Linked DNA regions of Mus musculus: regions 1, 2, 4 and 5 are each reported to be linked to region 3. Evidence: microRNA targets listed by miRTarBase, many of them from high-throughput screens and not tested one by one. Region 3 holds a microRNA gene; each other region holds the end of a gene's coding sequence.
What was found. Region 3 holds the annotated microRNA mmu-miR-741-3p (UGAGAGAUGCCAUUCUAUGUAGA, at 2,278-2,300, opposite strand). A microRNA usually pairs through its seed, bases 2 to 8, with sites in the 3' UTR of a target mRNA and lowers its output. Matches are read on the target gene's strand: a 7mer-m8 pairs with bases 2 to 8, a 7mer-A1 pairs with bases 2 to 7 and ends in A, and an 8mer does both.

Region 1: miRTarBase lists Ddr2 as a target of mmu-miR-741-3p. Seed matches in the 3' UTR shown: 7mer-m8 at 3,524-3,530 and 8mer at 2,842-2,849.
Region 2: miRTarBase lists S1pr3 as a target of mmu-miR-741-3p. Seed matches in the 3' UTR shown: 7mer-m8 at 1,244-1,250 and 7mer-m8 at 3,045-3,051.
Region 4: the mRNA of Rpusd2 is a reported target of mmu-miR-741-3p. Seed matches in the 3' UTR shown: 7mer-A1 at 1,086-1,092, 7mer-m8 at 1,369-1,375, 7mer-A1 at 1,559-1,565, 7mer-A1 at 1,906-1,912, 7mer-m8 at 3,658-3,664 and 7mer-A1 at 3,661-3,667.
Region 5: the mRNA of Zcchc9 is a reported target of mmu-miR-741-3p. Seed matches in the 3' UTR shown: 7mer-m8 at 576-582.

What each region holds. Positions count from the first base shown.
Region 1 is chr1:169,973,800-169,978,907 of GRCm38, forward strand. It overlaps Ddr2 (discoidin domain receptor family, member 2), which reads right to left. Exons shown (of 17, transcript NM_022563.2): 17 at 1-4,190. The coding sequence ends at 4,056. Among named protein-coding and RNA genes, the nearest start is that of 3110045C21Rik, 6.9 kb to the left of the region's middle.
Region 2 is chr13:51,419,429-51,424,536 of GRCm38, forward strand. It overlaps S1pr3 (sphingosine-1-phosphate receptor 3), which reads left to right. Exons shown (of 2, transcript NM_010101.4): 2 at 1-3,369. The coding sequence ends at 493. It overlaps Shc3 (src homology 2 domain-containing transforming protein C3), which reads right to left. Exons shown (of 12, transcript NM_009167.5): 12 at 3,961-5,108. Among named protein-coding and RNA genes, the nearest start is that of Gm32834, 3.3 kb to the left of the region's middle.
Region 3 is chrX:66,794,532-66,799,639 of GRCm38, forward strand. It overlaps Mir741 (microRNA 741), which reads right to left and starts at 2,344; the gene lies at 2,274-2,344. Mir463 (microRNA 463) reads right to left here and starts at 4,766; the gene lies at 4,692-4,766.
Region 4 is chr2:119,038,275-119,043,382 of GRCm38, forward strand. Rpusd2 (RNA pseudouridylate synthase domain containing 2) reads left to right here. Exons shown (of 3, transcript NM_173450.3): 3 at 1-3,924. The coding sequence ends at 485. Among named protein-coding and RNA genes, the nearest start is that of n-TSgct7, 6.0 kb to the right of the region's middle.
Region 5 is chr13:91,792,359-91,797,466 of GRCm38, reverse strand. Zcchc9 (zinc finger, CCHC domain containing 9) reads left to right here. Exons shown (of 6, transcript NM_145453.2): 6 at 213-934. The coding sequence ends at 331. Among named protein-coding and RNA genes, the nearest start is that of Zcchc9, 13 kb to the left of the region's middle.

The sequences.
Region 1 (5,108 bases), not on the chromosome of region 3:
TCTCAGATCATTGCAAAATGAGAAATTTCTGAAAAACACGGGACAACTAAATGGTCCCTCCCCAGTCCTTTCCTGCCAGCCTACTCAAGTCCTTCGTCACTACCCAGCTTCCTTCCCTCTTAGCTCAGGATTCTAATTAATTCACCAAGTGCCAATGACATTCATCTGTTTCTAGAATATGAAAGAATATGAAGGTTTCCAGGAGACCAGAATCTGCATGTTGCCAAAACATCAGGGCCTTGCCCCACACAGTGCCCAAGGACATAGGCTTCAAAACAAAACAAAAAAACTATGCTGCAAGCACCAGGCTCATGGATTCAACTTAGGATAAAAATTGCAATAAGCAATGTATTGCAATTCTTTTCATTTAGTACTGGACGAAAACAGACACCGTTCTGTTTTCTAGTGCATGTCTTCGGAACATCTTCCCACATTCCCTTCATCCTGACACGCCCCCTGATTTCCTCTTTACTTAAAACACATGGTCTACGCCCACATCACACTGTTCTTGTGGGGTGCCTGTGTGGAAAACATGTTTCCAATATGGCACACCCCTCTGTCAAAGATCAGATGAAACTTAGTATTGTCTAACTTACACCTATTGTTTCCATGTTTGCTGTGGCCATTTTAGACCATGGAAGGATGAGCATTATTGAAAGTGTATTTGGTAACTACCAAACGCTCATACACCTTCATGCCCCAACAGCACATGGAACACCAAAGGCCAGTGCGCAGACAGCATTGTCACCAACCCTACATGTGGTCTAGAACCCACAGGAGAGCGAAATGCCTTCTGTACCCACTTCCTGAGATGAATAGGTGACTCCCTAATGGTTCTGGTGGCCACATGTTTCTATATCCATGAAGACCATGTCCTTCTTCAACTCTACAAAAATCCCTTGCATTACCTACGGTGTACCTGACATCGATTTACTAAAGACAGGCTCCTTCACCCAGCATTTCTCCTTTACCTACCCTCCATTCTTCCCAAGTCACTTTTTCTAACCTCTCTCAGATCTCTTGGCATGCATCAGCGTTGACTTCATGGCCTCCAGCCAACCCTGTCTCTACCACGTTTGACTTGCCTCACCCCATATCTTCCCCAGAACCTCTCCTTGCCTCTTTTCACTGTGCCTTCTTTCTTATTTTCTACCCATCCTCTCCTTCCAGCCACACACACACATTCATGTAACAACTTAAAAAAAAAAAACACTACTCACATACTTGCATACAGCCCTCTTTTGTATTACAGTTTTGAGCGTTCACAGACAATCTTTCCACAGCTCCAACAATGCATGCTCTCCTCTGGGCACTCATTTCCACTCCAGGTCACATATGTGACATGGTTACACATTTATCTGGTCACCAGATCAAGATTTGAACATAGATCAATGACAGGACCCATGCCTAGCAAATGTGAGTTCTGGGTATGATCCCCAATAATAAAAACATAAATGGACCTGGTTAATGTATGCATTCATCAATAAAGGTATAAATTGAAATATGATAGTCTAAAGGACATCTTGACATAAATGGTTCACATATATCGTGATCACGAGTTACTTGGGGAAATAACAAGATCCCACAGTTTCTCATCTGTTTCTGCTTTCTTTTCCAAAACCTACCTTCATTTCCCTAGTTTAGATTTGAGCTACCTGTCTACAGAGTAAGTCTTTACCTTCTACCATGGTTGGCTACTCAGACCTGTACTGCTAAACTCTACTAGTGTAACTAGAAACTAAACCTGTGTCTGTAATACAAAGGTTTCAGTGCCAGAAGGTGGAACCTTCTTCATACCAAAAACAAAGTGCCTGTACATGAAGATACATATTTGATAGCCATCTGGGATAGATTAGTTCCATAAAGCAAAGTCCTGGAAATTTCATTTGTAAAGGAATACAGTGAACTGGGGGCAGAATCCTGAAGAGTATATAGTCAAGAGTTGTGAAAGAAACATGTCTGGCCCTAGAACTATCAAATGAGATAACGTGAAGCAGCACTGGTCACTCTAAAGCAGATATAATGCAGGTGTTGCTCTTACTTAAATGATGTCTCTCGGGATCACTATTACTGGCCACAATTGTCTGAGCAGTAACTGAACCTACATCAACCACAAATCTAGTTCTCCAGCAAGCACAAAACAAAGCAAAACTCCAAGAGATTCCTAAATCATAGATTCGGTTTTCCTTTGAGACAGATAAGAAAACAAATTCAGAGAGAAGCAAGACTTGGGAAAATGACATACTTGGCTTGAGGCAGCACAGGGCCAGAGTTCCCAATCCAATGTTCTCTCCTACCTCTGGGATCGAAGTTAGTCTTGCTGAGAATGGTAGAAAAGCCATGGGAGAGGAGGTAAATGTGCTGTGAGCGAATGGGATCTATGAAATTAATGTCAAGACTTAGAGTTATACATCTGCTGTGTCCTGTAGCCATGCTGAAGGCTGAACCAAGAAGCTCTCAGGTTTCTAAGAGACCATGGAGCAAGCTGACTGGATAGACAGAAGCAGATCACCACTATTTTACCTCAGCTTGGTTTCCTCTATAGGATTTAAGGGTTTTGTAGTGTAGATTGCTGCTGAATCTTAGAGTCTGTGAAGGATGAAAACTTAGGGTCACTAAGTTAGTCACTAAGGTGACTCCTGCTTGATCATGCATCAGTTCTCGTGAATCCCAAAGCCAGAAAAGAACTTCATGCTTTGCCGCTGGCCACCCTCTCTTTGGCAAAAGCACTTTCAGTAACACCAAATGGTCATCCTTTTATTATCCCATACATATATACCCAGTAGTCAACAACCTCTTCCCTGCAGAGTTCTTCAGCTAGTATCTGAAACTTTTCGGAGATGAGAGATTCCCCATCTCTGGGAAAACCCCCACCTGCATATGTTCTATTTCCATATTTTCCCAAAAGTGGAAATCAGTCTTCCTATAACTTTTTCCAGGGGTCTTGGCCAAACTTTTGGAAACACTCTAAACATATCTCTTGTATATTGGACATGACATTGGATACTTGTGCCTGAGAAGTTGAAGCCCTAGTCTATAAATCCCACAAAGGCATCACATAGTGAAAGATATAGAACTGGACAAGAGGAACTGATGGAGCAACCATTAAAATATCAAAACTTGAGGCTTTACAGAGTAAAGTCAAGTTGTCACTAGAACACACAGGTGAAGACCCTCACAGATGAACAACAAATAGTACACTTGCGAGTCATCCTCCGAGGACCTTCTTTCCTATGACCATGGTCTACCGGGAAGCTTGTGCAATCTTTCCCTTTCTGTGTCCTACTTCAAGCCTTACAACAGACATTTCTTTCTATCCATATGCCCTGTTTCATGGGTAGGCTCTGATCTCTGGCCATGATTGAAGAAAACATTCATTCCAAGACACAAGATAGAGGTTTTTAAGTACATGCCACTCACTTTGACGAGAGAGAGAGAGAGAGAGAGAGAGAGAGAGAGAGAGAGAGAGAGAGAGAGAGAGAGAGAGAGAGAGAGGAGAGAGACAGAGACAGAGACAGAGACAGAGAGATCTGAGAGTCACGTCCAAATCAGAAAATCATCCATTTGTTGTGGAATGCCAAGTCCTGCAATTCTTCATTACCTCTAAGTATTTTCCTTAAGCCTAATCTCATGTTTCTCAAGACATTCATATTCTTCAAGTTTTTCTTTCTAAAGGTATTTTACAGAAAGTGACACGGAAAAATATTGTAGGATCTGCACACTTATAAACAGAAGCATAACCTTTATAAATTATCTGAGTTTCTAGTCTTCATTATCTAACCATTTGGTATATCAAGTAACATTTCTTTTACTAATATCTGCTCTATATTTTTTTTTCTTCTTTTAGTTATTTCATGTAAAAAAGTATATATGAGTCAATAGTAGGGAGCAGGGAGGTGTAGTGGAGGAGGCAAGGGACAGAGAGGGCAGAGTGACTAATTCTCTGTCTCTCGGGTCCATTGAATGTCCAGCTGGAGTGGCTTAGATGTGGGTGAGCAGTAGGTCTTGTGGGAAGGATCTGGGCCACAGGAACACTGCCAGGTGCTGATGCATCATCACTCGGCTCCTTGCTGAAGAAGCAGGAGGTGTATTTCCTGGAAGGATGGCCGGTGCTTGGTTTCTCTTCTCCAGCAGCTGAGCATCAGCTTATACACAGAGTCGGGGCAAAGGGCTGGTTGAGGGAGATAGATCTATGGGAACAAACATTTTAAAAGAGAGAAAAATATATATTAAGGGGCAGGAAGAGAATGGACTGTAACATAGCTCTATGTGTACCCTCGCCACTTTACTGAACTTAGCAAAAGACACGGGTGTTGTGTCTATTCTCCCATCACACAAAGCTCATCAACCCCTTTCTTATTACCTTCTTCTATTCTAGTCCTCTCAAGCAGTATTTCACGAGGACCCTGCCTTCCTACTAAAGGTTCCACCAATGCCAAAAGAACTCAGATCTGCCGTCAATGAGGGTGAATCTTGTCTGAGCCAATATGACAGAAATAAAGCACACTTGTAGCTTCTGCTAAAGAATTTGAGGTTTTATTGCAATTTTATTGGAATAATATTCAGCCAGATGTATAAATTGGGAGGAAGGCTGTATCCTAGCAATACTCACCATTGTTCTCCATGTTCCCCTCTCTGTATTGTTCTCATTTAGAAGAGATTGGATTGCATTAACAGGTATAATTATGATGCCATAATTCCAGCCTAGGATGCTACTCTGAAGTTTCCAGTTACCATTTCCACAAGCAAGATGCTATTTTACTAACTGCCAGTCCATCTCCCGCATTCTATATTTTTACTATCATCTCCTTACCTATACATTTTAATACCCTGCTATATTGACAGATTACTAAACTGTACTTAAACTTTCCATGATCACTCAACCATAAAAGCATCATTACCTTTGCTGAACCCGATATTTGTACCTAGTTAATCATTAGCTACTTCCCATTGCCTTGCCTTACCTCATACAACACCATCCTGGATCATGTATCATAGGAGCTGGGCTTTACCCAGAGTCTAATAATAACACATGCCCATCAACTTCTAATTGCCAGTAAAAAGGCCAATAAGCAAAAATATTTGGCTTCTGCTAAAATAGCAAGTTA
Region 2 (5,108 bases), not on the chromosome of region 3:
GTATGCGCGCATCTACTGCCTGGTCAAGTCCAGCAGCCGCAGGGTGGCCAACCACAACTCTGAGAGATCCATGGCCCTTCTGCGGACCGTAGTGATTGTGGTGAGTGTGTTCATTGCCTGTTGGTCCCCACTTTTTATCCTCTTCCTCATCGACGTGGCCTGCAGGGCAAAGGAGTGCTCCATCCTCTTCAAGAGTCAGTGGTTCATCATGCTGGCTGTCCTCAACTCGGCCATGAACCCTGTCATCTACACGCTGGCCAGCAAAGAGATGAGGCGCGCCTTCTTCCGGTTGGTGTGCGGCTGTCTAGTCAAGGGCAAGGGGACCCAGGCCTCACCCATGCAGCCTGCCCTCGACCCAAGCAGAAGTAAGTCAAGCTCCAGTAACAACAGCAGCCACTCTCCGAAGGTCAAGGAAGACCTGCCCCGCGTGGCTACTTCTTCCTGCATCATTGACAAAAACAGGTCGTTTCAGAACGGGGTCCTCTGCAAGTGACGGTCTCAACAGGGCAAGCTCTGCAGCCACACCTATTTATTGCATGCATCACTTCCACGTGGGGCCTTAAGAGATCTTAACTCTGGAGGTCTGCTTGCTGTGGCCAGACTGTGTGGTATCTCCTGAGGAGGAGACCCAAGGAGTCACCAACGCATTTCAGCCTGGACTTGGATGTGACTTATCTGTTGCGGGCTCCATCCTTCTGAATGTACCAAGCTGCTGACACGGTGCACTGCCTTCGGATGCCGCTACCCCTGGTCCAGGGAAGGCAGGTGGTGATGTGCTATGCACATGCACATTGGGATGATGTCTCCCTGCGTTCACACTACATTTATTTTCCATAGAATGGGTGCTCATGTGTGTGTGTGTGTGTGTGTGTGTTCGTTGCTGTGTTGTACAGGATGTATACGATTGATTTTCCCAGGTGGAACCCATTACAAAGTGTCAGTCTTCCACACATCATTGGTCCAAACCTGCCCACACTGCTGTCCCAGGTTCAGCATGTGATAAGGTCATGTCCCCTTCCCAGTGCCCTTGCACTGGTGTTCTAACTCATAGCTGTGAAAAGTTACTAAAGTATTCTGTATTCTCAAAAGCCTCACCCAAGAGCAGCCCAGGTGTGTGGGTCTTACCCTTACATTCCTGCACCCCTCCTCCCTCTTGGGTCCCTTGCGTAAGCTTAGGTACACCTAAGAGCCAAATTATGCGATCATTGAGGCATTTCTGAAAGCCACAGAAAAGCCAGCCGGGATCTCTCGGAATGCAGGCACCACTAAAGGAAGAACTCCTAAGGAGAGGCAAGGTGCTCTCCACTGTGGGCAATCTTTCTAGGGGACTGCAGTCTGTCTGCTGCATGTAGAGAGTTTCCAGCAGTGACGTTCACAAGCCAGCCCTTCATCTGTATGGTCCTGAGTTCAAGTCTATAGAGAGAAGCTTGAGGCTGCTTGTCCCCTTTGCTGTCACCCTTTGCTGGCAAGGAGCTGGAGCTGTCAGCAAAGCTTCTCAACTCCCTCAGTTATGGACCCTGTCCAGGACTATTCAGTGAGAGGATTCCGCCAGGCTGGGAGGCGTGATGTAGTTATTTGTGTGCTCTTTAGAGAGAACCATTCCAATTCCCATATGATGGACACTCCAGCCACTCTCCTCCGCTTGGACCTGCGTTCATTTGTCCATCCTGTAAAGAAAATGCGTAGAAGACACCTCTGAACATCCCCTCCCCAAGGATTCCGCCCACAGGGCACACAGATGAAAGGTGGGTGCGTTGGAGAGTGGCCAGCATCCATGCTCCCAGAACAGCCTTCGGAAAGACTCTCATTTGAGGAAACGTCATGTCAAGGCTCCCCATAAGTTGATTAGTCTCAGAGACTGTTGCCTTATGAACCCTGGAAGAGCAGCCTTTACACACTCATGGGCCTTTTTAAAACTGATTTTTTTTTCCCTCTTGGTGGTTACCTGATGGCATTTGCTCTTGTTTAGGGACATTTTTCTGGGCCTTAGGTAACCCTGGTCTGACTAACTAAAGACTTCCCCTCATGTCACTCCTGGTGTATATAGGTCACTGCCAAGAAGTTCTGCTCCATCATTGGCCTTGCCCTTCTCTATGTCACCAAGAAAATGTCACCGTGTTGACAAAACCCATGGCATTTCTGGAAAAGGAAAGCATACAAGTGCTGGGTTAAGGGAAAAATAAATAGCAGAGCAGTGTGTAGGGGAGTTGAGGTGGAAAGAGAACAGGGCTTGTGGGCACGCTCTTTCATGATTGCAAGGCTTTGAGGCCGTGGGTCTAGGTCACTGATATTAATCACACATTGTACAGGATTCTGGCTTCTCCATTTCCTCCTGTGTCTGCTTTCACACAACAGCCCTTGTGGAGGGCCAGGCCCACCATCCCCAGCTAGGAGGTGACATTTGTAGCATGACAGACTGCCAAGCAACTGAAAATAAAAATACACTAAAACCCAATTGCGCTCACTTGATGTATGCCCAGTGGATCCGTCGACCGTGATGCCAGTGTGCACACCTTTCCCTAGCTAGCCTCCGAGACAGCACTGAGACATCGGGTGCATCCAACCCTCACCCTGAAGGTCAAAGGTCGGAAACCAGTGACACCAGAGACCCTGGGGCTCGCCCAAGGTAGTGAGCAACCTTGGCTACTTGCAGTTTATGTTTGTTAATAATAAATAAAACCAAAAGCCTGTATAAAAACCCATCCTGGAGGCCTGTGTGGTATGTTCTATTGTTTTGGAATAGACACTCGGGGGGTGTAGTGGGGTGGTCTTGCTTCTCTCCCTAGAACCTGATCTCACAGCATTACAGGCATAAACTACATTTGATGCCCAATCACTAAGTCCCTTTTATCCCCCAGGGCCATCTTGTAGATGATGTTAGATTGAAGCTTTAGCGTACTGGATGCTACTGATACAGGTCTGGGTAGATGCTGTTTTACTGGTGGTGGTGGTGGTGGTGGTGGTAGCGGTGGTGAGTGTGTGTATGTGTGTGCCCACCCATGTACACTATTGTGCATGCAGGAGAGGCCAGAGGTTAATGTTGGATCTCTCTCTCTCTCTCTATGCTCTCCATCTTGGTTTTTTTGTTGTTGTTTTGTTGTTGTTGTTGTTGTTTTGTTGTTTGTTTTTTTGAGACACCATTTCTCACTGAACCCGAAGCTGCCAGCTTTGGCTAGATTGACTGACCAACAATTCCCCCCAGGACCTGTGTTCCTCCTGTCATGGTTATAGGCACAAACTGCCCTCTGTGGCATTTACGTAGGCACAGGGCATCCCAGGGGAGCCATTTCCCAGCAGATCCTATGATTTGAAGAATGGTAATAGCCCCTCTGTAGGGAAGAAATTATAAAATAAAAATGTCATCCAACCAGAAGACTAGGTTTCATTTGCCAGTGTCTGCAGATGAGCAAGCGGGTAAGCAGCCGGCAGAACTGGCTCCCTGTTTTATAGTCGGTAAGTTTTAGCCACTAACCTGCATCCCACACACGGAGGATCCATATTTGGTGTGATGCTTTGTTGACGACAGATGTTATAACTTGTAGTGAAAAAGACACCTCACCCCCACCCCCAGTTCCACCTTCCCGCCGTCTATCACCTCTGACCTGCCCAAGGCAGTCTATGCTCCAGATCGCAAAATTGGCATGAATCTTTTCAAGTGTTTCTGACAAGTTATCCCTTTTCCCACCCCTGAGGGAAAAACAGAAGACCAATTTTCTAGAGAAAGGTTTCAATCTGCCCTCCTGTCTTCTGCGATGCGTTATAAGACCCAGGGCTGGCGAGTGGCTCAGAAGGCAATGTTGCTTGCCTTGGTGACACTTGATGTCCTGAGTTCGATTCCCAGGGCCCACATGACAGAAGGAGAGAAGCCCTACAAGTTGTCCTGTGACTTCTACGCATGCATGATGGCGCCCTGCCACCACACACAGACGTGAGCTCTGTCACGCAAACAAGAGACACTTCTTTTCACAGTAGCCTTTATTGCCAACAACAGACTTAACACTTACAGTCACTGAAACAATTAACTATTTAAAAATGGTTACTCCTCTCAATCTTTGAGCCGTGGTTATTCTGTGTGCTGGGAAAGAGCCGGTCACAGAAAGATAACAAGGTGCATTTTATAGAAAATGTCTAATGACATCGCCGCCAGTTCCATGCTTTGGAGACTAGTGACAAATGAAAAAAATGAAAACAAACAAACAAACAAAAAAACAAAAACCTCATCACCCACATAGTTGTCTAAGTCAGAGGGCAGAGGGTCAGCTCTGAGCTCTGGGATTGGAAGTGCATGGGTGGCCGTCCCAATGATAAAGGCACATGTTCCAGTACCTAATAATAACAAGAAGAGCAGCATTGTCTAGGGTTAGCCTGCCACCAGCCATACCTCGGCCATGGTGATGGGATGTTCTATGCTGCCTCCTCGTGGTTATCCCAGAAGCTCGGCTGTGGTGTGCCAGGACCGTGGTGGAGGGCATGAGACCGAAAGCAACACCGTTTCTCTAAAGAGTCCCTGCAGGTGAGGGAGTCCAAGCTGCCTGATCACCTTCACCTGTTATCTCTTGGGAATGCCAAATGGTCGTCAAATCGCCTAAGTTTTATCAAAGAAAAATATTAGAAAACTTAAAGTTGACTTTGTATTTCTGCTCCTCAACAGGTGACTTAGGGAGCCAATCCCAGGCCAGTATCAAAGTGGCAAGGGGCGGTTGGCCACACTCCCAGGCAGTAACTGTTACAGTAACTGTTGGTGTTTCACAATGGTTAACAGAAACAAAAAGAAATTTCAAATATGTATATATCAATATGTATAATTGGCCACCCGAATGCTTTTGGAAAACTGTTCAATACCTTGTTACACATTACATTTACACTGAGCTGTCCCCTAATCCTGGGGCTTTTGAACATCAAATGTCTCATTCTGAACACAAAGAAATTCACATAAATTTCACAATACTCAGAAACAAGTTATATCCAAAAGTCAGTTGAACAGAGAACATTCAATTGGCAACTCACACATAGTGTTGTTAAACAAAGAAGAAGAAGAAGAGGAAAAGAAACTAGTTGTCCCCAGACTAGTTAGTCTACTGTCTCTGCCTTGTGAACTGTTGCTTGAC
Region 3 (5,108 bases):
TTGTATCTACAAACTGCAGTGGGGGAGGCTTACATTAACTCAGAGACACAGAAACAAGGAGAAAAAATAAACTTGTACATTTAAATTTTTATTTTCAGTATCTTAAATGTATACATTTTTCATTACTTAGCAATTTCTGTGACATCTATCACATCATCTATCATCTATCACAGCACAATACCTGAAAATCCATGTATTTTTTATAACTCTGAAGTGATGCCAAATTCTTAACCTCTGAGTCATCTCTCCACCCCAGTGGCAGCCTAGAGAATAAGAAAAGATTTTTACAAACTGCATTATCTGACAGAAGACTAATATGCAAGATATATAAGGAATTTAAAATTACATATAAAAATCCAATTAAAAATAGGGTATAGGTCTAAACAGAAAATTCACAATAACAGAAACTCAAATGAATGAGAAACACCAAAATAAATAAATGTGCAAAATCTTTAGCCATCAGGAAAATTCAAATAAAAACTACTTTGATATTCCATTTTACACCTGTCAAAATGGCTAAATATCAACATGTGACAACGTGATAGAGAAGATGTGGGGCAAAGGAAACACTCCTCCATTGCTAATGGGACTGCAAACTTGTACATCAAAAATAGAAAATATGGTGGTTCCTCAGAAAGTTGGGAACTGATATATCTTAAGATCCAGCTATACTTCTTTTGGGCATATACCTAAAGGATCTTCATCCTACCACAAGGACAAATGCTTAACCCTGCTCATTGCCGATCTATTCATAATAGCCAAAAATTGAAAACAATCCAATTTTTTAAGTGTCCCTCAAACTGAATAAAAAGCCTGTGGTACATTTAAACAATGACGTATTACCTGTTAAGAATGACATCATGAGACTTGCTGGGAAATAGATGGAGCTAGAAAAATAATCATCCTATGAGAGTTTTAAAAAGACCCAGATAGAAACATATGGTAAGCATTTACTTCTACGTGGATATTAGCCAGTGAATAATGATAACCAAACTATAACCTCTTTAGCCAGAGGGGTTACATATAGCAGAGGGAATAGTTTGTAACAATTAATGAAAAAGGACACTGTAAATTTGGAAAGAGCAAGAAGGAATATGGAAAGTTTGTAGGGAAGAACAGGATATAATTATATAATAATCTCACAAAGTAAAAAAAAAAAAAATAAAACCAACAACTTTTTCTATTCTATCACTTTTATCTAGGTAGGATGCTATTGGAGGCACTGTCTGTTATTTAGGGTGGCTCTTCTCATTTGAAATAATCTGACCCTGTTGCCTGTGGCTCATCTATTAGCTGATTCCAAAAAATCAGTCAAGCTGAGAGCAATAGTTAGTCATTATACCATTACTACCTAGAGGTGATCAAACTCATTTGGTTTCTTGAGCCATAACCCCTAGACAAATAAATAAATGTATGCAGTATGTATGTATGTATGTATGTATGTATGTATGTATGTATGTATGTATGCATGCATGTAAAACTAATCTGCAAACACTTAAGCAATGCTGAGTGGAAAAAGTAGCTTTTCACAGGGATAAGCCAGCAAATTAGTTATTTAATACCAAGTAGTCTACCATATTATATACATACTCACATATTTATGTGCACACGTGTACACACACACACACACACACACACACACACAGAGAGAGAGAGAGAGAGAGAGAGAGAGAGAGAGAGAGAGAGAGAGAAAGGGGGCCATATGGGAGAGTGGAGGGTGGGAAGGAAAGTGAGTCAGAATTATATTTTAATTCAAAAACTTAAAATTTCAAAAGAGAAAATACAAATGCTAATATTCTTAATGTCTATTGTGAGAATTCGAGTAGCAGCAAACCTCAAAGTTCACTAAAGAGCATCTAAAATGAACATAAACATCATTATATGCGACATACAGGATGAAACTTACAGTACATGTAGAATGAAACTGTTCTCATTTAAATCAAGTCACCATCAGCATCACAGCATAAAGCAGCAAACAAGAAGCTTATAAAGAATCTTCTTATTATGCCTGGATGCCATGCCCTCTTGCTTATCTGAAAGTCTGATAAAACAAATATAAGACTATATTCATTTTATTTTTTCAGATTAAGAATAAAATTATCAATGTCCATATTTGTATTAACATATCTAAATGTGTTCTGAAGGTTTAAATTAAGTCCTCCTTAGAGGATATAGTTTCTGAAGGCACAAGATCTTAACAAAGATCGGGAAGCATTATACTTAACACTGCAATGATCTTCCAAGGCCACAAAAAAAGAAGAATGTTATGAGCCTTAATCTACATAGAATGGCATCTCTCATGCTTACATGATTTACATGATAGGTACCAATCTACGTAGATCAATGCACATGAGACATTTTATATACTTCTGATAGAAAGCTAGTCTGTCACCTTCAATTAGAAATCATAACTCCACAATTCTTGCATTCTTACCTCATTTAGTAGTAAATCTTAGAGAATACCTACCAATTCTACTATATCATGATTTTCTTTCACATAGTATCATCTTATGTCACCATTTCTATAAATAGTTTTCACTACAGCTAATATTCAGTTTTTTTATTCAAATTAATACATCCAGCACGTTTTACTTACTAAAAATGTTTTTCCCTTACAATATATTCTGATCATGCTTTCACCTATTCTCAGATCTGCCCTACCACCTCACTCATCAACCCCAAACATCTTTCCCTTGATTTAAAAAAAATGAACTAGCAATAACACAAAACTCATCAAAATGAAAGTTAAAGAAAAAGCAAAAATCAGAGAAACAGTTACCATTACAACTATGCATGAAACATATATTTATTATTTCTAAATACTAAGGATAGTAAAACATACTTTTACCTTGTCAATCTTGCAACCTAGCCTATATCATATTCTTTTTTTTTTCCTATATCATATTCTAACACCATGGTGGGAAAGACATGCGTACATAAATTACCTAATTTTTATTTACTTATTTATTTATTTTATTTATTTCCTAACTTAATACCCTCCATTCATATAGTCTCAAAATTATTTGTGAACCAAATGATAGTAAAATATTATCATATAAAAGAATAATATTTCCTACAAGATCAAATGGCCATCTAAAATCCCAGAAGCCCCAAAACTTTAAGTTTTGGAATACCATTTTCATATTCACGAAGCCACAATAAATGAGTAAAGTTTTCTTCCACTTAGAGGTAAACACACATTTATTTCTGTTAATTGGAAAATTATATTCTACTTATAAATACTATAAAACTAGATTAACTTAAGGTTAAAAATAAACCAAAAATGTGAAGTCCCGCTTAAAACTCTTAATTATCACTCAAAATTTATCAATTCACCCTACAGCATAAAATATAAACCTTAATTGTATTTATATGTCCTTATGAAATAATTCTATAGTATTCTTTCCCACATATTTCCATCTAGTTATTATGAGCAGTTATTTGCACGAATGGCTGTCAAAATTGAGATTAAACCAGGAAAAGCTCATGATTCCTCAATCCTACACAAAGAACTATACACAACTAGAAAAGCCAGTATTGGGAGATGTCTCCTAACTCCCAGCACTCATGGAAGAACATTCCATTTGGTTGTCTAGTGCAAAACATTCATCCTGAAAACATACAAACAAGTAACACTATACAGACTTAGCAGAATATATTTAGGAATAAATAGCTATATAAAAATACATCAATACATTCAGTAACAATTATTGACAAACATCATCAATTTGAGGGAGAGCAGGGAGGGAAATATGAAAGTGTTTGGAGGGAAAAATAAGAGGTATAAATATTATAATTAAATTATAATTTAAAAATATACTGAACTAAATCTGTAATTTAAAAACATGTAATGATTGTTGTATCTGAATGTTTATAAATCTTGATGTGTCTGCAAGGTTAACATTAAAGAATAAATGCCACATGAAACTCAAGAAGAATGACACATGAAACTCAAGAAGAATGAAGACTGAAGTGTGGACACTATGCCCCTCCTTAGAATTGGGAACAAAACACCCATGGAAGGAGTTACAGAGACAAAGTTTGGAGCTGAGATGAAAGGATGGACCATGTAGAGACTGCCATATCCAGGGATCCACCCCATAATCAGCATCCAAACGCTGACACCATTGCATACACTAGCAAGATTTTATTGAAAGGACCCAGATGTAGCTGTCTCTTGTGAGACTATGCCAGGGCCTAGCAAACACAGAAGTGGATGCTCACAGTCAGCTAATGGATGGATCACAGGGCTCCCAATGGAGGAGCTAGAGAAAGTACCCAAGGAGCTAAAGGGATCTGCAACCCTATAGGTGGAACAACATTATGAACTAACCAGTACCCCGGAGCTCTTGACTCTAGCTGCATATGTATCAAAAGATGGCCTAGTCAGCCATCACTGGAAAGAGAGGCCCATTGGACTTGCAAACTTTATATGCCCCAGTACAGGGGAACGCCAGGGCCAAAAAGGGGGAGTGGGTGGGTAGGGGAGTGGGGATGGGTGGGTATGGGGGACTTTTGGTATAGCATTGGAAATGTAAATGAGCTAAATACCTAATAAAAAATGGGAAAAAAAAGAATAAATGCACCTTACTAAACTTTGGTCCTTTAGATACAAATGCCAAATTAAGGCCAGCAAGCTCTAACAAGGGTTAATGCTTCTATACCACAATGATGTTCCAGGTGATGAACATAGTGAACCTTCCTCTACCTTATATGGTGTCTATCATCATTTATGTTTTACATGATGGACAACAAATTAGGTAAAGCAGGGTACATCATACCTTTAATATAAAAATGTTGCAAATGTAGCTTCCATGATCCTCTTTATCTTTTAGCAAAGTACCAATTGTACATTGTTGCTAAAACTTGACATACTTTGTGTATAATATATATACATATATGTACACACACACACACAATCTACAAATTGTCACCAAAAATTCCTCCAAGAGAATATCCTCTGATGTGTCTTCTGTTTCAATTAATGGTATTCTCTACCAAGACAATACGGGGGACTGTAATTTCACTTATATAAGTTAGAATTTCTCGTTGAAGTTATTTTTCTTCCTCCTGTAACATGCAAGTATTAAAATAATTATTAGATTTGT
Region 4 (5,108 bases), not on the chromosome of region 3:
GCCACCCGATTCTCAATGACCCCATCTACAATTCAACTGCCTGGGGTCCTTCTCGAGGCCAGGGTGGCCACATTCCAAAGACAGACGAGGAACTGCTCCGAGACCTGGTTGCAGAACATCAGGCCAAAGAAAGCCTGAGTATGCTAGATCTCTGTGAGAGTGACCTGACGCCAGGGCTCATAGACTCGACAGCTCCCTCTTCAGAGTTGGCTAAAGACAGCCTGGAAGGGTTGGCTACAGCAGCCCAGAAGATAGATGGAATAGCTGAGGCAGCCCCTCAGCATCTGGACACACCAGAGAAGGCAGCTAAAGCAGATGTGACTCAAGAAACAGACCCGCTCTGTGCCGAGTGCCGAGTGTTGCGACAGGATCCCTTGCCCCAGGATCTCGTAATGTTCCTGCATGCCCTCCGCTATAAAGGGCCAGACTTTGAGTACGTCTCACCCATCCCAGCCTGGGCACGGGATGACTGGCAAGAAGACTGAGGAATGTGACCATTGGAAAAATGGCTTCTTGGATTGGAGCAAGGATGGGCCTTGAGACAGGGACTGCTCCCATTGGTTGATACTCAGGTTTGGAGAAGAGCAAGGTTTCACAGTAAGGAACCTTGCTTGTACCTGCTGCTACCTCCTTCCTTCTGGCTTGTTGGGGCTTTCAGATCTGTACATAGATCATTTTTTTCTAACACCTTGTATGTCCATTTTTACTGGTTTCTTACGATCCCTTCCCTCTTCCCCCCAGTGCTTAGGATAGAATCTAGATCCATTAGAAGGCAAGTGCTCTACAACTGACCTCCAAGCCCCTTAGTATTTCTGAGTTTCTCTAGCTCAGGCAGATCTTGAACCCTGAATCCTCCTACATTGCCTCCAGAGCGGGAATACAGGTATGAAACACCATGCCTTGCTTTTTTTTTTTTTTTTTTTTTTTAATTGAGATAAAATTCACATAGCATAAAATTAACCGCTTTAAGATAAACACTGTTGGCATTTACTATATTCACAAACTAGAGCAACCTTATCTCAAGATTTCAAAACATATTTCTCATTCCTACAGGAAACTGTACAGCACATTCTTCCCTTTTTCTCTCTCTCAACTCCTGGTAAACAGTTTATTCTTTATTCCACAGGCATGGACTCAGACAATCTGTGTCTTTTTCTTTTTTCTTTTGTTCTTTGTTGTTGTATGTTTGTTTTCTGAGACATGGTTTTGGTATAGCCCTGGCTGTCCTGGATCTTGCTCTGTAGACCAAGCTGGTCTTGAACTCACAAAGATCCACCTGCATCTGCCTTCTGAGTGCTGGGATTCAAGGAGTGTGCCACGCCCCCCAAGCTACCCAACACTTATTCTTTTCTGTTTGTTCTACTGATCATCTCTCTCCTAGTGCATGTGATATAATTTCTCACAGTGGAATATACTCTTTTTGTTGTGTTGTTTATTATTTATTCTGGACATAAAATCTTAACAAAAGAATTAACAGCCCAATTACAAAATATCCAAAAATGATTCTGGTTCTCTCTCTCTCTCTCTCTCTCTCTCTCTCTCTCTCTCTCTTTCTCTCTCTCTCACACACACACACACATACACACACACACACACACACACACACACACACGGTCTGGTTAAGAGCACTCATTGCTCTTTGAGTGGCTCACAACCACCTGACACCCCAGCATTAGGGGACCCTTCCCCTCTTCTGGCCTCTGCCAGGGCTACATAGTGAGACTCATGTCTCAAAATAACAAAGACGGAAGCAGTGCAGTTAACAAAACTAACATGTTTTAGAATGGCAGATTTCCTGGAGTCAGGACTGTTACCACCAGAGCACTGACTCTGTTATGATGCCTTGCCTTCCACAGGTAAGCACTGTGCGTGATCACGGCTGTCTTTCCACTCCAAATGAGCTCTTCTCTCATGTGAAGCGCATTCTTATTTTCAAAACCACATTTTATCAGCCATTAGCCACATCAAAATAATTGGAAAATGTCTGTCTATTGCTAAAGCTGCCTCTGTGTGTATGTGGGGCGGGGGGGGGGGGTGGAGTGGGAGAGGGGAGTGTACTGAGACCCTGTGTCAAACAAAGAAAATAACACACACAGACATTTTTGTAAGCCTTGAATCTGGGGTAACTCCTCTCCTCCTCCATCTTTCCTGCTCTCTCTCTCTGTTTTTCTTGAGAGGGTCTTGTTATGTAGCCAGGATAGCCTCAGAATCACTAAGTATCCCAGCTGGCCTCACACTCAGTTTCTACTTTCTTAAGCTTTCCAATTGCTTGAGTTATAGACAGCCATGTACAAGCTTGCCTTGAAGTTTTTGTTTTTGTTTTTAAATCCCAAATGGTAGAATTAAACACATGCACTGCCACTCAGGATTTTGAAGATTTCTTGTGTATAATAAAACATAGACTATAAGCAAACAAACATACAACCATCCATTGCAATTCTTTCAGCGCTACGTCTTAAAAGAGTTGTTGATGTATAACCATCCAGGACTGTGGCGCATCACCAGCTGACAATTCTTCCCTGATAAGTTCATAATCAACAGAGGGAATGAGTCTTCCTGAAGCTGAATCTAGAGGATTAAGACCCATTTTTTAGCACTTAAGCAGTAAATGCTGTTAGTCTTAATTAGGTATTTTTGTATCAATCTTTTCTCATGGTCTTCCAGGGACTCGGGGTTGGAATATCCTGTAATAGTTCAGGATAGTGTGAAGTAACCTTGCTGTTGATTTGAGTGCTTTGAGCAGGATTTAAAGGGTAAAAACATGAAACCTCCTTCTCACCCAAAGCTGGAAGTAGCCACTGATCCAGTAGATGGCGCCTCTCACTCTTTTATCAGTCTCTTCCCTTTCTGTTACTAATTCAAGTAATTTCCCCCTCCCGTTCTTTAAAATAAAGTGGTATTGTTGATTATTTTCACTCCCTTAGAAAATGGGAGCCAAGTACTGGTAGTTATGAATCAGGAAATCATCAGGAGAGAAAACCCTGGTATTCTCATAACAAGCCTCACGGTAATTTCATGTGAGAGTAAGAACTAAACACCCTGACTTACAAAGGCATGGCAGCAAGAGGTTCAGGAGTGAGCCTCTTGAAACTGGATACCTGCATCACACCTGCCAGGCTCAGAACATATGGGAGAAGACTGGGAAAGAAGGGAAGAGCCAGAGGATAAGGAGGGGTGCCTTAAAAAGTCTGTGGGGAGTGGCTGGGTTGTTGCACCCGTGCAGCAGTAGTTACCTCTGCAAGCCAGGCGCAATTCTGAGTCCACTGTCATTTAAACATGGGTGAGGGAGGGGCTACTGGCAGTTAATGGTTGCTGGGAGATTGGATGCCATTTTCTTCAGTGATCTAACTAATGAAAAGTTGCACAGCTTCTGCTGTGCAAACTGAGACTGAATCAGAGATGGATATCCATTGGATAAAGTTTTAACCAGTTTTTCTTCAACATGAAACATAGAACGACAGTCATTCAGACAAAACAAAAACACACAAACTGACACATGGTCAGACTGGTGCACCAAGGACAGACAATGCAGAGAAGGAAGGAACTTGATGTAACCAGAACTAAGGATGCCTACTGTAGGGGCCAGAGAGGAAGCAAGAAGTCTCCCGATTTCCTTCTGTCCCTGGGAGAGCTCTGAAATCCATTTTCCTTCACTTGATCTCTCTCATGTCATTTGTATATCTAGCATCTCCCTTTTGTTGTTTTTGTTTTTTATTCTTTTTATTTTATCTTATTTATTTTATTTTAAGCCCTACTCCTTTCATCGGATACAGTTCTTGACTACAGACAAATGTTTGTTTAGAATTTTCCAGCCCCATTTTCCACTGTCAACCTCTAGCTGATATCAGCATTGGGCTGACGCTGACTCAGTTTAACCTGTATCCTTTTTGCACCATTAAAATCAACAGCCTTCAAAAGATGAAATTTATAGCATAAACATTAATGCTGTATGTTGCTTACCGTGTAGGATACCATCTTCTTCATTTTCTGTGGAGCTTCACCAAGAATGTCCCTCAGTCGGTCTTTCCATAATCAGATCCCTCATTTGGGTGCCACCTGTAGCCGCCAGCGGCCATGGGTTACTGAGTTCCTGAAAGGAAAGCTGGGGATGGATGGGAAGAGCGATGAGAGAAATAACGAGCCAAGACAAAGTTCTCTGATCAAGGCTCAATGTTTAATTCTAAGATCTGAAATTTACAGGGGGGCAAAAGCCATTCCTCACTTTGCCAGGACCTTGTCAGGAAGACAAGCTCAGCTGCTCAACACGTAGTGACTTCGTGCAGGAAGCTGCAGATGGTAGGACAATACACTTCACCTAGGTTGGAAGACTCTACCTGAGGTGGGCTAGCCGATTGTTGCAAAAAAGGTCTGAACTAGCCCACTCAAGGCTGGGGGAAGGGCACAATTTCTACACATAGAATAAAAATAAATAATGAATTAAGAATAACTAACAAGGGGGCTGGAGAGATGGCTCAGCGATTAAGAGCACTGACTGCTCTTCTGAAGGTCCTGAGTTCAAATCCCAGCAACCACATGATGGCTCATAACTATCAGTAATGAGAACTGACACCCTTTTCTGATCTATCTGAAGATAGCTACAGTTACTTATTTATGATAATAAATACATTTAAAAGAAAAAAAGAATAACAGGGCTGGAAAGATGGCTCAGCGGTTAAGAGCACTGACTGCACTTCCAGAGGTCCTGGGTTCAATTTCCAGCAACCACATGGTGACTCACAACCATCTGTAATGGGATCTGATGCCCACTTCTGGTGTGTCTGACAGCTACAGTGTATTCATATAAATAAATGAAAAAAAAAAAAAGAAGAAAAAGAACTAACAATACAATACCTACCTGCTTTTTTTCATTGTGGTTGATGAGACTCTCCACTATATAGCCCGGGCTTGTATTCCTCCTATTTCAACATCCTTAAATGCTTAGGTTACAAGTGTGTAGCTGCCCCTCCTCCAGCTTCAACTATCTTTTATTTGTAGAAACTAGACCCAAAACAAGCCATCAAATCCTAGAAGCTGGTAAAACTCAGGAGATGGGCCGGGCGTGGTGGCGCACACCTTTAATCCCAGTACTCGGGAGGCAGAGGCTGGCG
Region 5 (5,108 bases), not on the chromosome of region 3:
TAATTGGGATGAGAAATTGCCTGTGGTACTCGGAAATCAAGGGTTCTAATCAATTACAGAATTGCTCACTTTCCTGCAGTGATGGAGTCATCTCTCCTTGTGATTATTCATGTCAAAACTAGTTCCTTTACTAAACCAATACCACTCTCAGTGGAAGCATTTGATTACTGTTGTTTTTATATCTTGATTTTTTTTTTTAAATCCCTCTGCAGATCGGATCATCACGGTTGGTCGCTGGGCAAAGGGTATGAGTGCAGACTATGAAGACGTGCTGGATGTGCCCAAACTGCAGAAACCTAAAACCAAAGTACCCAAAGTTGTTAATTTTTGATACTAATTGGTACAATTGTTAATTACCACCTCAAGGTTACTTTCCAAACTCAGCCTTTAGCGATTGAAGCTGGGCAACTGTGGAGGCAAAGCTGTGTTATAGACACCACTCTGACCTTGGTAGCTTGCCTACAATCAATCTATCAAGGCGTACAGGTTGATTAATTACACTCTCTAGAAATGTGTGTGTGTGTGTGTGTGTGTGTGTGTGTGTGTGTGTGTGTGTGTGTGTGTGTGGTCTATCTATCTCTCTGTGCCTGTGTGTCTGTCTGTATTTGAAGCAGATTCTATGTAGCCCAGGTTGGCTTCACACTAATAACCGTGCTCCAGCATCCAGAGTACTGTGCCTAAGAGCATATTTTACAGATGGAACTTAGAAATGACTAAATGCCTCTATACCTGATTATAGCAGTCATCACTATAAATGTAAATTATGAATCAAAATTGACCCCTAAACAAAGCACATGCCTTTCAGCTTGTGAATCAAAAAATATTTTGTTATATGCTCTTAATTCAGAGTATCAATTTTTTGTAATAGAAATTTATTTATATGTTGTCACAAAATCTGTAATTCTTAGTACTGAATAAAATTATATCAGCTGTTTGTCTTTGTTGAACTGATCATTGTTACTTTCACTCTAGAGTACCTTTAAAAACAATATTGGTCCCAAAAATAATAAAGTAAAAGCCTTAATAGAGATAAAAGGGGCTCTCTTTAGTTTTGATACAAAGAATTAGAAATTATTAATATTAAAGAGTCTTCCAGCATCACAGTTCTTTTTCACCTTCAGTTTTTCAAGAGAGAAATTCTAGCCAGAAAGCCAGTGTGCATTCCTCAGACAGAGCGACGGCATGACAGACTATTAGTCTCCCTGGCTGCTTCCGCCTGCTGTAGCTGTGGCAGGGTGTGGTGGAAGGATGGATGCATCACCATAATAGAGTGAGAACACTAATCAGAGACCCATTAGCTTCTTTGTCTGATTTGATGAATACATGCATATTTAACGTACATTCCACGAGTCCTGCCGCTGTCACTGCAGCATAATGGAATGACTGGTGGCTTCTGAGTTTCATCTCAAATTCTACCTGATTGAATCCATTTGTAGCTAAAGGAAGCAGCTGTGATTAGTTACTGATGCCTCAAAAGCTAAATATTTACCAAATAAGAAAAGAAACACGGCCTCTGTTTTCATGTCTACACAGCTTAACAGTTGTAGTCTTAATAGGAGCTGTTCTTTTATTTTTGATGAGGGAAGAACATGATGACAAAACATTGCTCAGCATCCCGGAGCTTAAGGAAACTAGTGCCACTTAACATGGAGACGCTGTGGTGGATGTCGCCAGAGCACAGACGCCTGCAACATCGAGGGAACAACGGGAAGAGTGCTCTCCAAACAGTCCTCACTGTAGCAATGCTGCTAGCCTGTTTGCCTTCCAAAAAACAGTAAAAATAAAGGACAGATGTTGAGGGCAGCGTTTAAAAAGATGCTGCAGGACGGTCCTGGAGGCAGTGGTGGTAGGACACCCGAGTGATGGGCTAGCTCTACACCTGGGAATGCTGGTGACGCTTGGCATGTACTTTGTCCACCCAGCATGCAAGGGAAGGTGTCAGAAAGGGATGTTCTATTACATCATCAGGATGTGTGGGGCTGGGGAGAAGGCTCAGTGGTTAGGAGCACTGACTGCTCTTCCAGAGGTCCTGACTTCAATTCCCAGCAAACACATGGCATCTCACAACAATATATACTGGAATCTGATGGCCTCTTCTGGCATGCGGGCATACATGCCGATAGAGCACTCATATACATAAAACAGTGAATCTTAAAAAAAAAAAAAAAAAAAAAAAAAAAAAAAAAAAACATGTTTTGTTGAACACCATAAAACTTGGCTAGTATTTTGTCTCTTAGACCTTTGTCCACCTGATTTTCTCTTCTAAGCACGTCTTGCACCTTTCTGTGACAGGCTCCTGAGTACGTGCCGCTTGAACAGCCCCAGTTTCCATCGACAGTTCCGATTGGCTGCTCCACTGACACATCAAACTCAAGTCCACCTGCAATAACCACTTACTCAGCGCCTTTCTCGTTCCTTTTTTTTTGTTCGCCACAGTTATGCTCCAAGCCTTGACTCTCCGCTTCTCTTGACAAGCCCACCTCTGTTTCCTAGCCATGCCCTCTCGCATTCAGCTCTCTAGCTGGCTCGGCAGTGTCTGCAAGCAGACACTAGGAAACGGCCCCTTCCTTCTCCTGATGCTTCTCGTTCCATTGGTCCATCTTTCCTCCATTAATTTAAAGCCTACCAAGTACTTCCTTTGAACGCCTTACTCTAGCTTAGAGGCTATAGGAGAGCAGGACTCGTGTGGTTAGTCATTTCTGGATTCCCAAAGGTGTCCACATAAAAGAACCATTCACATATGCCCAGGGGTTGAATTAAACGATGGAGTGAGGTGAAGGTAATAAATAGGCGATGCCGTTGCTAGGAGCTGCTTCACATGGGATAGTCCAGAGGAAGCTTTTGGGAAGACTTGCCCTGAAGTCTGAATGACAAGGAAAAAAACCACCATAAATATATGCAGAAAAGCATCTCAGAAGAGGGAAAGCAGTCACAGCCCATGGAGAGAGAGCAAGGTTGCCGTATGATAGGACCAGAGAGATGATGTGTGTGGTTGAAACTGCAAAGGTTCCTTCTAGGCAAGCCTGTAGTGTAAAGTAGGACCTGGTCGTGGTTCCATGTTCCTCTTAGCAGGGTCTAGACCAAGCACCCTATTATGTGCTGACTAGCTCTTCGTGTGACATCAGTGGACGAGTGTCTGTTAAACAGATAACACAAGTACCATCCACTCCTAGGAGGTTTGTATTCTTCATGGAAGTGCCTGATCAGACGGAAGATTTGAGCGTGTTTTCTCTCATCTGTGAGCTGTCTTTTTCCACCTTTGAGGATATCCTTTGGGGGCACAGAAGTTTGGTCAAGTCCAGTTTGTTATTTGTTTTTCTATTGATGCGTATGCTTTTCATTTTATGTCACATGAACCATTTACTAGAGGTCGTGAGATTTGTTTTTGATGTTTTGTGTTTTCATGGTTTGCACTTAAATGTATAATTCAACTGTGTTCCTTTTCTTGAATGTAATTTGTAATAAATGTCTGTGATGGTTTATCTATGCTTGGCCCAGGGAGTGGCACTATTTGGAGGTGTGGCCTTGTTGGAGTAGATGTGTCACTGTGGGCATGAGCTTTAAGAGCTTCATCTGGAAGCCAATATTCTGGCAGTCTTCAGATGAAGATGTAGAATTCTTCGGTCCTCCTGCACCATGCCTGCCTGGATGCAGCCATGTTCCCACCTTGATGATAATGGACTGGAACTCGGAACCTGTAAGCAAGCCATAATTAAATGTTGTCCTTGTAAGAGTTGCCTTGGTCATGGTATCTGTTCACAAAAGTAAAACCCTAACTGAGACAATGTCTAACCCATCCTTTTGCATGTGGATATCTTACATTGTTCTTGAACATATTTATTTATTTATTTATTTATTTATCATTTTCTTACTGTTCATCTCTATGTATGTGTGTGCAATGCATCTACCTATGTATGCTCATGTGGAGTACAGAGATCACTGTCAGATGCCCTCCTCTCTGCTTTCACACACACACACACACACACACACACACACACAGAATTTCTCACTGCAGCTGGAACTTGCTGTTTTGGGTAGCCTGGCTGGCCTAGCCTAGAGATCTGCCTGATTCTGCCAATCCTCCACCCGCATCACTGGGATTACAGACTTCACTGCCATGCCTGAATTTTATTGGCGAGTACAGATCTAAGCTCAGGTCCTCATGCTTGAACAATATGTTATATGCATATAATAAAGTCATATATGTATGATGACTGTCAGTGTCGTGGTTTTGTGGGATTCCTGAGTGTGTGGATAAGTGGCTTTCTGACTGTTTGTTTCTTGTGCCTTCTCTTGGGGTCTCTTCTTTTTGTTTGCTTGTTTCATCCTATCCCAATATTAGTTTTTGTTATATCATATCATATATTACAATTCTTTAGAGACCTGTTTGCTTTATAATGAAAAATAGAAAGGAGGTGGATCTGGATGGGAAGATCAGGAGAAACTGGGAGGAGTATAAAGGGAAGGGAAACTAATCAATATATTATGTAAGAAAAATTTATTTTCAATAAGAGGAAAAAAGAATAAGGAGAATATTTAAAAGTATTATAGATGAAACATGTCACCTAAAAGCCCAGAGACAGCATGCGACATCTGTGATGTGGGGGAAAAAATCCTTTTCAGTTTAGAACTTTATGCCCATTGAAAATATATGTAAAGAAGATCAAATGAAATGGAACACCTCACCGAAAGCAAACTTCACTATTGCTCTTTGAGTAGAAGTGAGATTTTATGAGGAATCAAGTCTAAGATGCAGAAAGAGAGATGAAAGCCCATCCTGGGAGCTGGCATGAGGACCATACGGTGGAAGGGGAGAACCAACTGCTTTAAAGTTACCTTCTACTTCCACATTTGCACCATAAGGCACACATGTGCATGCACACACACACACATACGCACACACACACACAATACATACATATATGGAATCAAAATTTATAAGAGAAACAATACTGGTATGCAACTGCACAGATTGAATAACTTAAAGCCAAGGAATAACATAGACAACAGAATGTCTGTGTTTTACCCTAAAAGATGTGTGTAGCTGCCATTGTCAGTGTGCTGAACCTGACTAGATGCTGCCTCTGGAAGAAGGTTTATCAGGCTCT